3 linked regions of the Rattus norvegicus genome follow. The protein of the gene in region 1 interacts with the protein of each later gene in a pairwise test. Links are inferred from orthologs where the notes say so. Each region holds a gene or a part of one and is shown in the gene's direction. Other genes may lie near its edges. The genes, in order: Cfap206, Sox30 and C5h1orf94.

Region 1 (4,246 bases):
ATCATGAATCAACATGGACACCACTGACCCAGTCCAATGTCAACATTAATCAATTGATAGAACTAATTAATCAATGAAACCGTAGGCATCACAGGCTTTTGCTTGTGAATGACTTTTTAAAGAGGAGATATAGAGGCTCAGTCAGTAAATGGCTTGCCTCACGAAGCACAAAGACCTGAGTTTGATCCTAGAACTCACATTTTAGAAAAGCTGAGTTGTCTCATGTGTGCCCCCAACAAATACCTAAATATAACAAAAAAAAAAGTTCATTAGGCTCACCCAACACACATTGAAAAGTTTTAAAAATTATTGTTTTATTTTACATGAATGGGTGCTTTGCCTGGGTGTGTGTCTGTAGACTGTCAACAAGGCCAGGAGAGGGAGTTGGCTCTCCAGAAGTGGAGTTACAGACACCTGTAAGCCTCCATGTCCGTGCTGGGAATCAACCCAGTGCTCCGGAAATCCAGTCAGTTCCCTTAACCTCTGAGCCATATCTCTAACCATGCAACAAACATTTTTAGGTATCAAAACACCTTCGTTGATCCAGCACATGACCAGTATTTGGAAGGCTGAGGCAGGTAGAACTCTGTGAATTCATGGTCTACATGTCCAGTTCCAGATCATACAGGACTATACAGTAAGACCCTCTCTCAAGAAAACAAACAAAAGTTATAACCCCCAATTCCAAACGCACAGGTTTCCTTACTTGCATTTTATGTATGGTGGGGTACCATAACTGGTGTGAAAACACTTCCTTAATGAAAAGTTTTACTATGGTATTTGGAACACCAGGATATAGACTTCCTTTTTCGAAAGAATGCTTTTACAAAACAACAACAACAACAACAAAAAAAAAACCAAAACAAAACAAAAAACGAAACAAAAACAAACAAAAAAACTATGAACATTGATAACCCCTAGACTTTCTCATTCTTTTCAACTGATGTATTTTTCCATGTTTCCACGCTAGCAAATTACCAGGAACAGCGTATGCACATCCAACCTTTATTTTAGAACTCACGTTTCATTGTCTTAAAACTGAGGTGTAAGCGCCTGGGACTTGAGTTCTTTTGCTTTGTCTCTTCGGAGACTGAGGGAGAACCCTACGCCCCTCTTCTTTCTTTTTTTTTTTTTTTTTTTTGGAGCTGGGGACCGAACCCAGGGCCTTGTGCTTGCTAGGCAAGCGCTCTACTGCTGAACTAAATCCCCAACCCCGACGCCCCTCTTCTTAAGGTGCCACCCCAAAGGTTCCATCCCAGCGGCCCCGGCCCGGGCCCGCCCTCCGGCCCCACCCCCATAGCCAGGCCCCGCCCCCAGCTTTGGCGTCCTGTTCGGTCTCCACGGTTACGCATCTGCAGCTTGGGCTCTGAGCCTGGCTGGGAGAGCTGCGGCCGGCTGGGCTGGCGTTCGGGCCAAGCCCAGCGCCCAGGGAGCTCCTGGCCGTTAAACCGCAGGTGTACCAGCGAGAACACGGACGTCGGACGGCTGCAGAACTAGTGCTGGTAGTTGGTAACCAACAGGGTGGGCGGGCAGGCATCCCGCTCTGGGCAAGTGCACAGGTAGGGGTAGGCTCAACCTGGCTGTGTGACCTGCAGGTCTGACATCGCTGGTGGGCTGGTGACTGGCATTGCTTGGGTACTTGCGCCAAGCCGCTCACTTTTCAGTAGACTCCTAAGTTCAGGAAAAGGTGATAACTCATCTTTTTCAGATGAGCAAACTGGCTTCCAAGGAAGCGAGGTACTTGTTCTTCTCGAAGATGTGGTTGGACCTTTGATGTTTTTCTTAAGAGTCCGTATCCCAAGGATGGACTAATCCGGGAAAACTTTTTTTCTTACAGTTATTAAATTGTATTACAGTTGTGAAAGATCCGCTAATAAATGTACTGATAAGCACTTTCTTTTACAAGCTGTATTCTTGTTGCCTCCACATGGGCTTGCTTTTTCGTTTCTTTTTCTTTTTCACCAAAATTCTGCTAAGCATTTATTTATTTATTTATTTATTTATTTATTTATTTATTTACATTTTGGTTTTGAGACTGGGTCTCACTACATAGCCCTGACTCAGGCTACCTAGTCAGACCAGGCACTAGACTCATAGATATCTGTCTGCATCTGCCTCCTGAGTGATGAATTTAACACATGAGCCACCATCCCTAGCTACTTTTTTTTTTTAATGTCACAATATATATTTCTGATGGCGGAGTGATTTAAACTCGGGGGAAATCCCAGTTACTTTATGTCACTAAAGTCATTTAAAATGAAAAAAAAAGAGGAGGAAAGTAGATTATAATTAAATAGTGATAACTCTGTAGACACTGTGGATATTTCAGATCTAATAATGGAATCAAACCAGGAAAAGTGCATAAATGAAATTACTAAACGAAAATTATTGCTTTACTCAGCCACAATGCCTCCCACACAAGCAGAGAGTGTCATAAAGAATATCATACGAGAAATAGGACAAGAATGTGCAGCCCATGGAGAGATCACTTCTGAAACGGTGGTTGCTTTTATGGTAAGATTGATCACTTTTGTAAGTCCTGTTGTAAACAAATTTTAAACTGTGAAAGTGAGGGTTTTTCCCTTTAAAGTTCTCAGGAGCTTTCCTGGTGCTTTTTAGTCGAAAACACTAAGATCATCAGATGACTCGGTGAAAGGCATCTTTTCCAAGTCTGCAAAACGTCTTGTAGCTTTGCAGTGAGTGATTTAGGAGATCCTGTTAGCTTAGAAACCTCAATAATATTCTGCTGTGAAGTTTTAACGTGTACTTTTGTCCAAATGCATGTTATAAAAGTTACTCCTTGCTTTGGCTTCTGTGCCCTTAACCACACATACTGAGAACGAGAGATCCAGTTTCCAGCTCTAGGAACGGTAACCGTTCCTTTCAGCCTTTTTACTATGTGTTGCCCATATTTGATGTTTATTGTTTTCTGTCTCCACCCCATAATGAAAGCACTAAAGAGGGAGCGATAAGAAAATTAGCTGAACACCAAGGAAATTGGTTAAAAAGCAGAAGTGAATTAATTTCACGATATGAGTAAAATCACTTCATATGCTGTGTTTGTAGGTGAAAGCTGTCGTCCTAGATCCCAGCAATGGCTTTAACATGGATAGGACCCTCGTCAAGACTGACGTGCAGAAACTTGTTAAGGTGATTGACTGACAGTCCTCGGGTTTGGGATTCTCTGTTTAAAATCTTAAATGGAACACTGTGTTTTCCACCCCGTCTTCAGCAATTTTATAAAGAAATGCAGATGGCAGTGTAAACAAGTGAGGAGTTATTTTCTAATAAAACAGTGTCTGGAGGTACTTAGGTTGTTCCTGGCCTCCTGGGCTCCCACCCTTGCCTTTCCTCAACGTCATGCCCCCTGATGGATGACGAAGAAAGACAAAGGAACTAATGGTCTGCTTCAGTCAGATCCTCTCAGAAAGTGACAACTGTCACTGTCAATCAGGGGGTCAGGACCCGCCGTGTCCCCACCTTGGCCTCTCTCTTTTGTAGTTCTCACTGGCCTAAAACTTGTGTGGGTCCTCCTGCCTCTGTTTTGTGAGTGTTGAGAGCGGGGTTTGCAGGAGAATACTGTATTCTGCCCATTTTCTTTCCTTTTTGAAAATAACTTAGATGCTTAGATACCTCAGTTGCTTGCCTGGCATGCGTAAAAAAATAGCCTTGCGTTAGATACCCAGGCATTTGCTGTATAGAGTCAGGTGTGGTAATCTGAGCAGTGGGAAGGTGGGGACAGGAGGACCATAAGCTCAAGATCATCCTCTGTTACATAGTGAAGATATAGCCTGGGCTACATGAGCCTAGCCTGGGCTACATAAGACCTCAAAATTCAAAACTCAAACAAACCAACCAACCATTTGAATGTTTCAGAAAAATACAGCAGAAGCATTCATGCAAACGTTCTCTTCCAGCTTTGCGTGGCACGGCTATTGGACAACAAAAATCCATCCTTGGACACCATTAAAATGCAGGTCTACTTCGACATGAATTACACCAGTCGAGGTAACATAGACACCGACCTTCATACATTTTAAGTTTTCAATATTGCAGTTTAGGTAAGAAAGGTTAAATCTGGCTGATAACAGGCTTACTTGTTTAACCACATTAATTTTTGTCTGTCTTTTGATCTTTTATGTCTTTGATCTGTTAGGCAGCCTTCTGTTATCATTCACAGAATGCCCGAGATAATCAGTTTACACAGAGAACAAGTCTATTCTGGTCCAGTTTTAGAGTTTCAGCC
Region 2 (3,650 bases), on another chromosome or scaffold:
GAACAAAAGAAACCTTATTATGATGAAGCACAAAAGATTAAAGAGAAGCACAGAGAGGAATTTCCTGGTAATCAAATGAAATGAGCAAGACTCTTTCCAATTTCTTTTAAATTTATTTAGGTAAAGATTAAGTTAGGTTGAGATCTCCTAATCTCTGTGTGAGAAAGAAAATAATGGTTAACATAATAGTGATTGAATTAATACTAAGCATACATTTTAAGTAGAATACAGTTGTGAAATATCTGATTTCATATTTACCAGCTACTGTAAGTCAGGAGATATTTGGTTTTACTGTAATAGATATAGGTATGTACAAGCATACACACACACACACACACACACACACACACACATACACATCTACATATAGGTATGTACAAGCAGACATATATAGCTAGTTTTACCATTTACTGTAAGTCTCCATGGTTCCATTCTGTAATATACTAGACATATTAAATAATCATGGCAACAACAAACACTTCCCACTTAAAAGATAACAAAAATGCAGGAATTAATATCTTATGGGTATCAGAACATAGTCCCGTGTTTTGATTAATAGATTTATTCCTAGCATGAGACAGTTTGGACCAACTGATTCTTCCTCAGCAGTGAGGACGTTGAGATAAAGGTTGGGAACTATGTATTCTTTGTGGCTTACAGAACTGTGCATAGTGGGAAAATCTTTTCTTAAATATAAGCAGAAATACTTTTAAGAGGCAAGATTATGAAGTATCACCTAGACAGAACCAGTGATCGTATACATGATAGTGCCACACTTCTGACTCTGGGAAGAAATTAAGGTGTTTATGGTTTTAGCAATTGCCAAGCCTCAGAGAGTGATTCCTTAAATCAGGCATAAACAGAGGGGATATATAATGTCTTATGGGGTATTTTTCTTCCACAGAGGAAAAACTTTGGGATTCAAACCCAATGACTGGTGTAGATTGTATCATGAAATCACTCTGTGTTCCTGTGTAGAAGGCATTTGACTTTCCTCTCTATTAAGGGTTACATTAACAGAGTTAGCAGCTATGTGGATGTTAAAATGCACAGTGCAGGATTTGTTCACAGAAATAGTATCATGGAGCTGGAAACTATACCTTTAGACAACCCATATTTTAAAACTTTTAAGTGAGCTGTGTTTTTATATGAAAAAGCCAGAGTTTGGATATTCATATTAAAAGTCTCTCTTTTTCTGTAGGATGGGTTTATCAGCCTCGTCCAGGGAAGCGAAAACGCTTCCCTCTAAGTGTTTCCAATGTATTTTCTGGTACCACACAGAATATTATCTCTACAAATCCTACAACAATTTATCCTTATCGCTCACCTACCTACTCTGTGGTAATTCCCGGCCTTCAGAACACCATCACTCATCCAGTTGGTGAGTTGGTCCTACTGTAGATAATTTGTAAATACCTACATCAAAATTTTATCTCTTAAGTGGAAATTTGGTTTCTTAAATTTATAATTTAGAACAATAGTAAAGAAATAAAATCAAGAAGGGATAAAATGAAACATTAAATGGGAGAAGGAGCAATAGCAGATCCATGTAGAAAACTCTGACTCTCTAAGAAATTTAGGGTGAGAGCCAAGATTAGTCAGATAGTGAAGAAATTGCTGGTGTAATTACATAGAAAGTAGGGATGGTGTAACCTCCAGCATAGAAGAACACTTTGCTAGAGGGGGTTGAGACATTCTCTCAGTGATATTAGTAAGGCCACTGCTCCAGAAAAGCGATGAAAGCTGTACATTTTCTATACATTTCTTGTTTGGTTCATGTTCCTTACAGTCTGGTCTTAAACTGAGATTCTCAAATCTTGGCTACCTGTTTCATTATTGGCTTGTTCCTCCGAAACGTTTACAACCGTCTCTTAGGGAGAGTGCTGTCCATTCACTATTACTGCTGCCTGTCTTAAAGTTGCTCTTGCCAGTTTCTGCCTGTTTTAGTCTCCTAATGATAAAGCTGGCCCTATGAGTTAGAGAGGGATAGAGCATGAAAATGGACTTAGTAATATTTTGCATTCTCAGTACTTTTTTATTAAAGATTTTATTATATATATGTTTGTTTTCCTATATGTTCCTATATGAGTCTCTCATCCTGCCTCCCTCACCACCACCCTCCTTCTCTTTCTCTCTCTGTCTCTGCCTCTCTCTGTCTTTCTCTCTGTGTCTGTCTGTCTGTCTGTCTGTCTGTCTGTCTCTCTCTCTCTCTCTCTCTCTCTCTCTCTCTCTCTCTCTCTCTCTCTCTCTCTGTGTGTGTATAGTGTGTGTAGTGATCAGAAAGTGTTAGATCCCCTGGAACTAGAGTCGTATTTCAACACTGAGACCTGAACCTGGGTCCTCAGCAAGAGCAAGTACTCTTAACTTCTGGGCTCTTTCTCCAGCTCCCATTTTCAGTGTCTTTTAAACTGTGTCATTTAGCCAATGGAATAAACAAAGCTGCACTCAAGATACTAGTGTACGCTGTAGAAAGTTGATCTGTAGCCTCCATTTTGCAATACAGTCAGGCACTTTTAGTGTTGACTGTAAGACTGTGCTTCAAACTGGGCTTTACCATCTCTTTGTTTTGGTTTTAGATATTATTTTTTACTTTAGTACGTGCTTCTTTTTGTCCCTTCCTCCCCGCACCCCAGACTTTCCTGGCATCTGTTTTGCCCATTTTCAAATGCTCATGTTTCTCATGAACAGATTTATCAATGTTCTTATTTTAAGCAGTTGAGATTTTATACAATATATCACTTTTACACCATCTGTGCAAAGATATGGGCTGGAAGAAGACTAAAGATTTCCCCCTGATATTGGTAGGGTTTATGCATCATGATTTTATTACTTAAATATGGTAGACAGAATTACAGGAAACATCTCAGAAACATACAACAGTAAACAAAAATGTGATAATGAGACTTTGTTGGCTACTCTAAAAAATTGTTTACAATGATATTTCTTGTGAGGGCCAGAAATGGTAAAGATTCATTTCTTGGATCCCAAATGATAAGCCAAAACATTTTATAAATATAATTTGAGAATTGTTTTTAGATAAGTATAATCCATAGTGAAGAGATTTACTTGCTACTAACATACTGTACAGTTACCCAACTTTGAAATATGCTTAGGTATTTCCATCAGTTCCATATCATATTATTTAGAGGTGATAGTGTAACTAGGAAGTTTAGAAATTTCACATTCTAGAGTAACCGTAAAATTATTAAAGCTAGTTAATAGATGATACCACAAGTATTAAAGAACCATAGTTATTGGCTAGCTATAGTGGTACATACCTTTAGGGAGGTAGAGGCAGGCATCTCTCTATGAGTTCAAGGCTAGCCTGGTCTACAAAGCAAGCTCCCGGATAGCCAGGGCTACACAGAGCAACTCTGTCTTAAAAAAAAAAACAAAGAAATGGTGGCTAGAGAGATGTCTCAGTGGTTAAGAGCACTGACTGCTCTTCCAGAGGTCCTGAGCTCAATTCCCAAAAAACCACATGGTGGCTCACAACCATCTGTAATGAGATCTGATGCCCTCTTCTGTGTGTCTGAAGAAAGCTACAGTGTACTTATATAGGATAAATCTTTAAAAAACAAAGAAACAAACAGAAAAACCTATAGTAAACCTAAAATCTACTATAAACTATAATTTGCAGATAATGATTT
Region 3 (3,650 bases), about 91 Mb from region 1:
GCATCCTGCGAGCGGCCAAGGTCAAGAGTGTGAAGGGGACTAAAGACAAAAGTCATAGCCTGGGTGCCTCTAATTCAGAGATCAGCAAGCTCCTGGCTCAGTTCCCACTGAAGTCAACTGAAATGTCCAAGGCCCCAGACAACAAGATGGTGCTGGAAGAGACCAAGGTCATTAAGGACTTCCTGCAGAATAGCATGTTCAATGGCTCCGGACCCCGGGAGTCCATGGGGCTGGGCCCATTCCTGCTGCTGCCACCCCCACCTCCTCCCGCAGTCCCCGACAAACTCCCCGAGTTCTCTCCTCCGAAGAGGCAGCTCCCAGTGTTTGCCAAGATCTGCTCCAAGACTGAGGCTGACCCAGCTCTTGAGGGCCACCACTGGATTGGTGAGTGGGGCTGAGAACAGGAAAGTGAGGGGGTTTTCAAGGAAGAGAGCCTTGATCAGGAAGCTGATCAAGGCCATGGTGTGTCTTTGTGCAAAGCAAAAACAATGCAGCCTCTCTGGTTGTGTGTGTATGTGTGTGCGCCTAAGTGGTATATGGATGTTCATGTGTGGATAGATACACACACGTATATGTCTAGAGGCCAGAAGTAATGTCAGGTGACTTCCTCTGCACCTCTCCATATTCTTCACACACACACACACACACACACACACACACACATTTCTGTCTTCAGACATATCAGAAGAGGAAGTCAAATCCCATTACAGATAGTTGAGCCACCATGTGGTTGCTGGGAATTGAACTCAGGACCTCTGGAAGAGCAGTCAGTGCTCTTAACCACTGAGCCATTTCTCCAGCCCCCCTCCGTCTTATTTCTTAAGATAGGTAGGGTCTTATACTCACCAAACATGAAGCCCACCAATTCAGCCAGAGTGGCTGGCTCGGCAACTCCAGGGATGCTGACTCTGTCCCCAGCACTAGGATTACACACATGTGTTTCCGCACCCAGCTTTGTATACAGATGTGGGAAATCCAAACTCAGGTTCTCAGGCTGGTGTGAGAAGCATTTCACTAAGTCAGCCATCTTTCCACACCCTGCAAGACACATAATTTCTGATTTCATTAGGTACCCAGAGCATACTGGAGGATTTATTTACCTTATCAGGAAAGAGCCCAGCCTTGAGTCTAGGCTTGGAGAGAAAATTGATTGGCATATGGGGGTCACTTACCTTTTTATGGAGACACCCATCCTGGTCATCAGGACTGCTCCACCCTCCGTAGGGCATAAGTTCAAACTGTTGGTCCTGGGATTTGTTCTCTGAAGCTCTAGAACCTTAGAGAAGCATATTTTTAGCTCTTGAATAGGAACTCTGGTCATCCCAAGGAACTCATCCCCCTCTGGTGCTCCCTGCCCATCTCTGGGACTCCACATTGTGCATGTTCAGACTGGATTGCAGAGCCATCTGCCCACAGTCGCCAGTCTCTAGAAGAATAGATTATACTTGCGCCAACCAAGAGAAAGGTCACCCCCAGGCTGTAGTGTGATGCTTAACTGACAGTGCCTGTCTAGGGAGGGCTCACAGCCCTGAGAAACAGGAACAAGGTCACCTTCCCAAGTATTCTATATTCTGGAGCAGTGGAGGGACCCCGGGAAATCAGAGCTGAGGTGACAAGCTGGACATAGTACTCAGCAAACCTGGAGGAGTCACAAGGCTTTGGGATGATGGCAAAGGATGGAGGAGGCTTGAGCCCTCCCCGAGAGGGAGAGAAACACTTGCCCTCTCCTTCCAGAGGGGAACCTTCATGTTCCTCGATGAAGGGACTGCAGAACAGAGGTATCTTCTCCACTTGCCCTCCCCACACTCAGAGAGTGCCTTGTGTACAAACCCGCGGGCTAGGTGTGCCAGAGAAATCTTTGTTCAGGGTGAGCATACTCATTAGAGAAAGCACAGGGTGTAGAGCTGAGGGTGCCTGTGTGTGTGTGTGTGTGTGTGTGTGTGTGTGTGTGTGTGTGTGTGTGTGTGTTGGTAAGTGTGCTTGTCCTGAGTATGTCTGTATAGTTATGAGGCAAAGGGAAGACAGACAAATGAGGAGAGAGAGAGGTGGGGATGGGAGAGGGGGAAGAGAGGGGAGAGGGGGAGGAGAGAGAGGGGGAGAAAGAGAGAAAGGGGAGAGAGAGGGGAGAGGGGGGAGAGAGGAGAGAGGGGAGAGAGGGGAAATAGAGGGGAGAGAGGGGAGAGAGGGGGGAGAAAGAGAGAAAGGAGAGAGAGAAAGGGGAGAGAGAGGGGAGAGAGGGGAGAGAGGGGGAGAAAGAGAGAAAGGGGAGAGAGAGAGGGGAGAGAGGGGAGAGAGGGGAGAGAGAGAGGAGAGAGGGGAGAGAGGGGGGAGAGAAAGAGGGGAGAGAAGAGAGGGGGGAGAGAAAGAGGAGAGAAAGGGGAGGGGGGGACAGGGAGGCCGAGAGGCCAAGAGGCTGAGAGAGAGGCAGAGGCAGAGGTAGACAGAAAGACAGAGGGAGAGGGAAAGGGACAGAGAGTTCCCAGATGCCAGAGGGGTCTTGCAGATGTTGTAGCTGTGTGAGTGGCTGCAAATATGCTGGTCTCTGGGGAAAATGACTATTATTAGTGGCTATATTACTTCAGCGCTCTAGCTGGGGGCTAAACTCAGCAACCAGAGGAACTGCTGGAAGAGACTCTGGGGACATGCTCTGCTAAAAATGTCCCTGGCTGGAGCAGTGCTTCCCCTTTTTTGGGGGGGGGCAGGGAAGGTAGGGCCCAGGCCCATGCAGAGGCCCCGAGGGCTTGCTGGGTTGGGCTGGGCTATAGAGGAATTCATGATATGGTGGAATCACGTCCATTACCATCGGTAACGCTGAAGCACAGGCCCTCCCGATCTGACTGTTACTAGAGTTCCCAGGTGCTTCCACTGTGTCCAGAGCAGCTCATAGCCATCCACCTGCAGGCAGACTTCTCAGCCAAGCTCTGTCGAGGTGTTCAGAGACAGCCAGTCTGAGGAAGGAGTGAGGGGGTAGAGAGGCCAAAGTCCACTTTCTGCTTCTAACAGATAAATGCCTTAATAGTAATTATGTAACACTTGCGAGTACATGTATATAACATACAATTTATGTGTACACACATTTATCAAGCTGTCTCTATTTCTTGGTTCCAGGAACCCCTCAAATACCCATTCAAAGATGCTCAAGAGCCTTATACACAGTAGCACACAGCTCCCTCCCTCCCTCCTACACTCTGTACATAATCTATGGATCACCACTGGTGCCTAATCCAATGTAAATGCTGTGTAAACAGTGGTTACACCATTGGTTAGGGAACAATGACAAGTAACTCCGTATGCGTTCAGTGAGGGCACAATTCTGCCTTGAGTGTTTCGCATCCATTGTCCCACACACGGAGACACTCCAGTTTTGAAGAAAGGCTGCAACACTGAAGGGAAATATCTCTGCTGACATGTCAGGTGTATTTGCAATAAGACCTGAGTCTGGCACCCACTGAGTCCTTCCGTTGGGTGACTCCAGTCACTTAGGATGAGTCACCTTGTTCCTTTGATGCTCCTGCCATTTGTTTGTGATTGTCCAGGCCAGTGACATCTTTCTGATAGCCCCCAATGAGAGTCTTGCTAAGCCTTCCTTCCTTCTAGGTTAAAGGACCCACTCAGACAGACAAGATCCCAGTCAGTATCTCCTTCCATTT

Evidence for each region.
Region 2: the proteins of Cfap206 (region 1) and Sox30 interact in binary tests that used the Homo sapiens proteins (3 or more experiments, as listed by UniProt). The two-hybrid records come from large-scale screens. The link is inferred for Rattus norvegicus from reciprocal best matches to the Homo sapiens genes CFAP206 and SOX30.
Region 3: the proteins of Cfap206 (region 1) and C5h1orf94 interact in binary tests that used the Homo sapiens proteins (3 or more experiments, as listed by UniProt). The two-hybrid records come from large-scale screens. The link is inferred for Rattus norvegicus from reciprocal best matches to the Homo sapiens genes CFAP206 and C1orf94.

The regions. Positions count from the first base shown.
Region 1 is NC_086023.1:54,092,518-54,096,763, reverse strand, and holds the start of Cfap206 (cilia- and flagella-associated protein 206), read left to right. Parts: upstream 1-1,380; 5' UTR 1,381-1,502; exon of another isoform or gene 1,503-1,559; intron 1,560-2,401; 5' UTR 2,402-2,406; coding exon 2,407-2,514; intron 2,515-3,066; coding exon 3,067-3,150; intron 3,151-3,917; coding exon 3,918-4,008; intron 4,009-4,246. UniProt on the Homo sapiens protein: Essential for sperm motility and is involved in the regulation of the beating frequency of motile cilia on the epithelial cells of the respiratory tract. Required for the establishment of radial spokes in sperm flagella.
Region 2 is NC_086028.1:30,922,662-30,926,311, forward strand, and holds part of Sox30 (SRY-box transcription factor 30), read left to right. Parts: coding exon 1-67; intron 68-1,201; coding exon 1,202-1,381; intron 1,382-3,650. UniProt on the Homo sapiens protein: Acts both as a transcriptional activator and a repressor. Binds to the DNA sequence 5'-ACAAT-3' and shows a preference for guanine residues surrounding this core motif. Binds to its own promoter and activates its own transcription.
Region 3 is NC_086023.1:145,586,227-145,589,876, reverse strand, and holds part of C5h1orf94 (uncharacterized protein C1orf94 homolog), read left to right. Parts: coding exon 1-384; intron 385-3,650.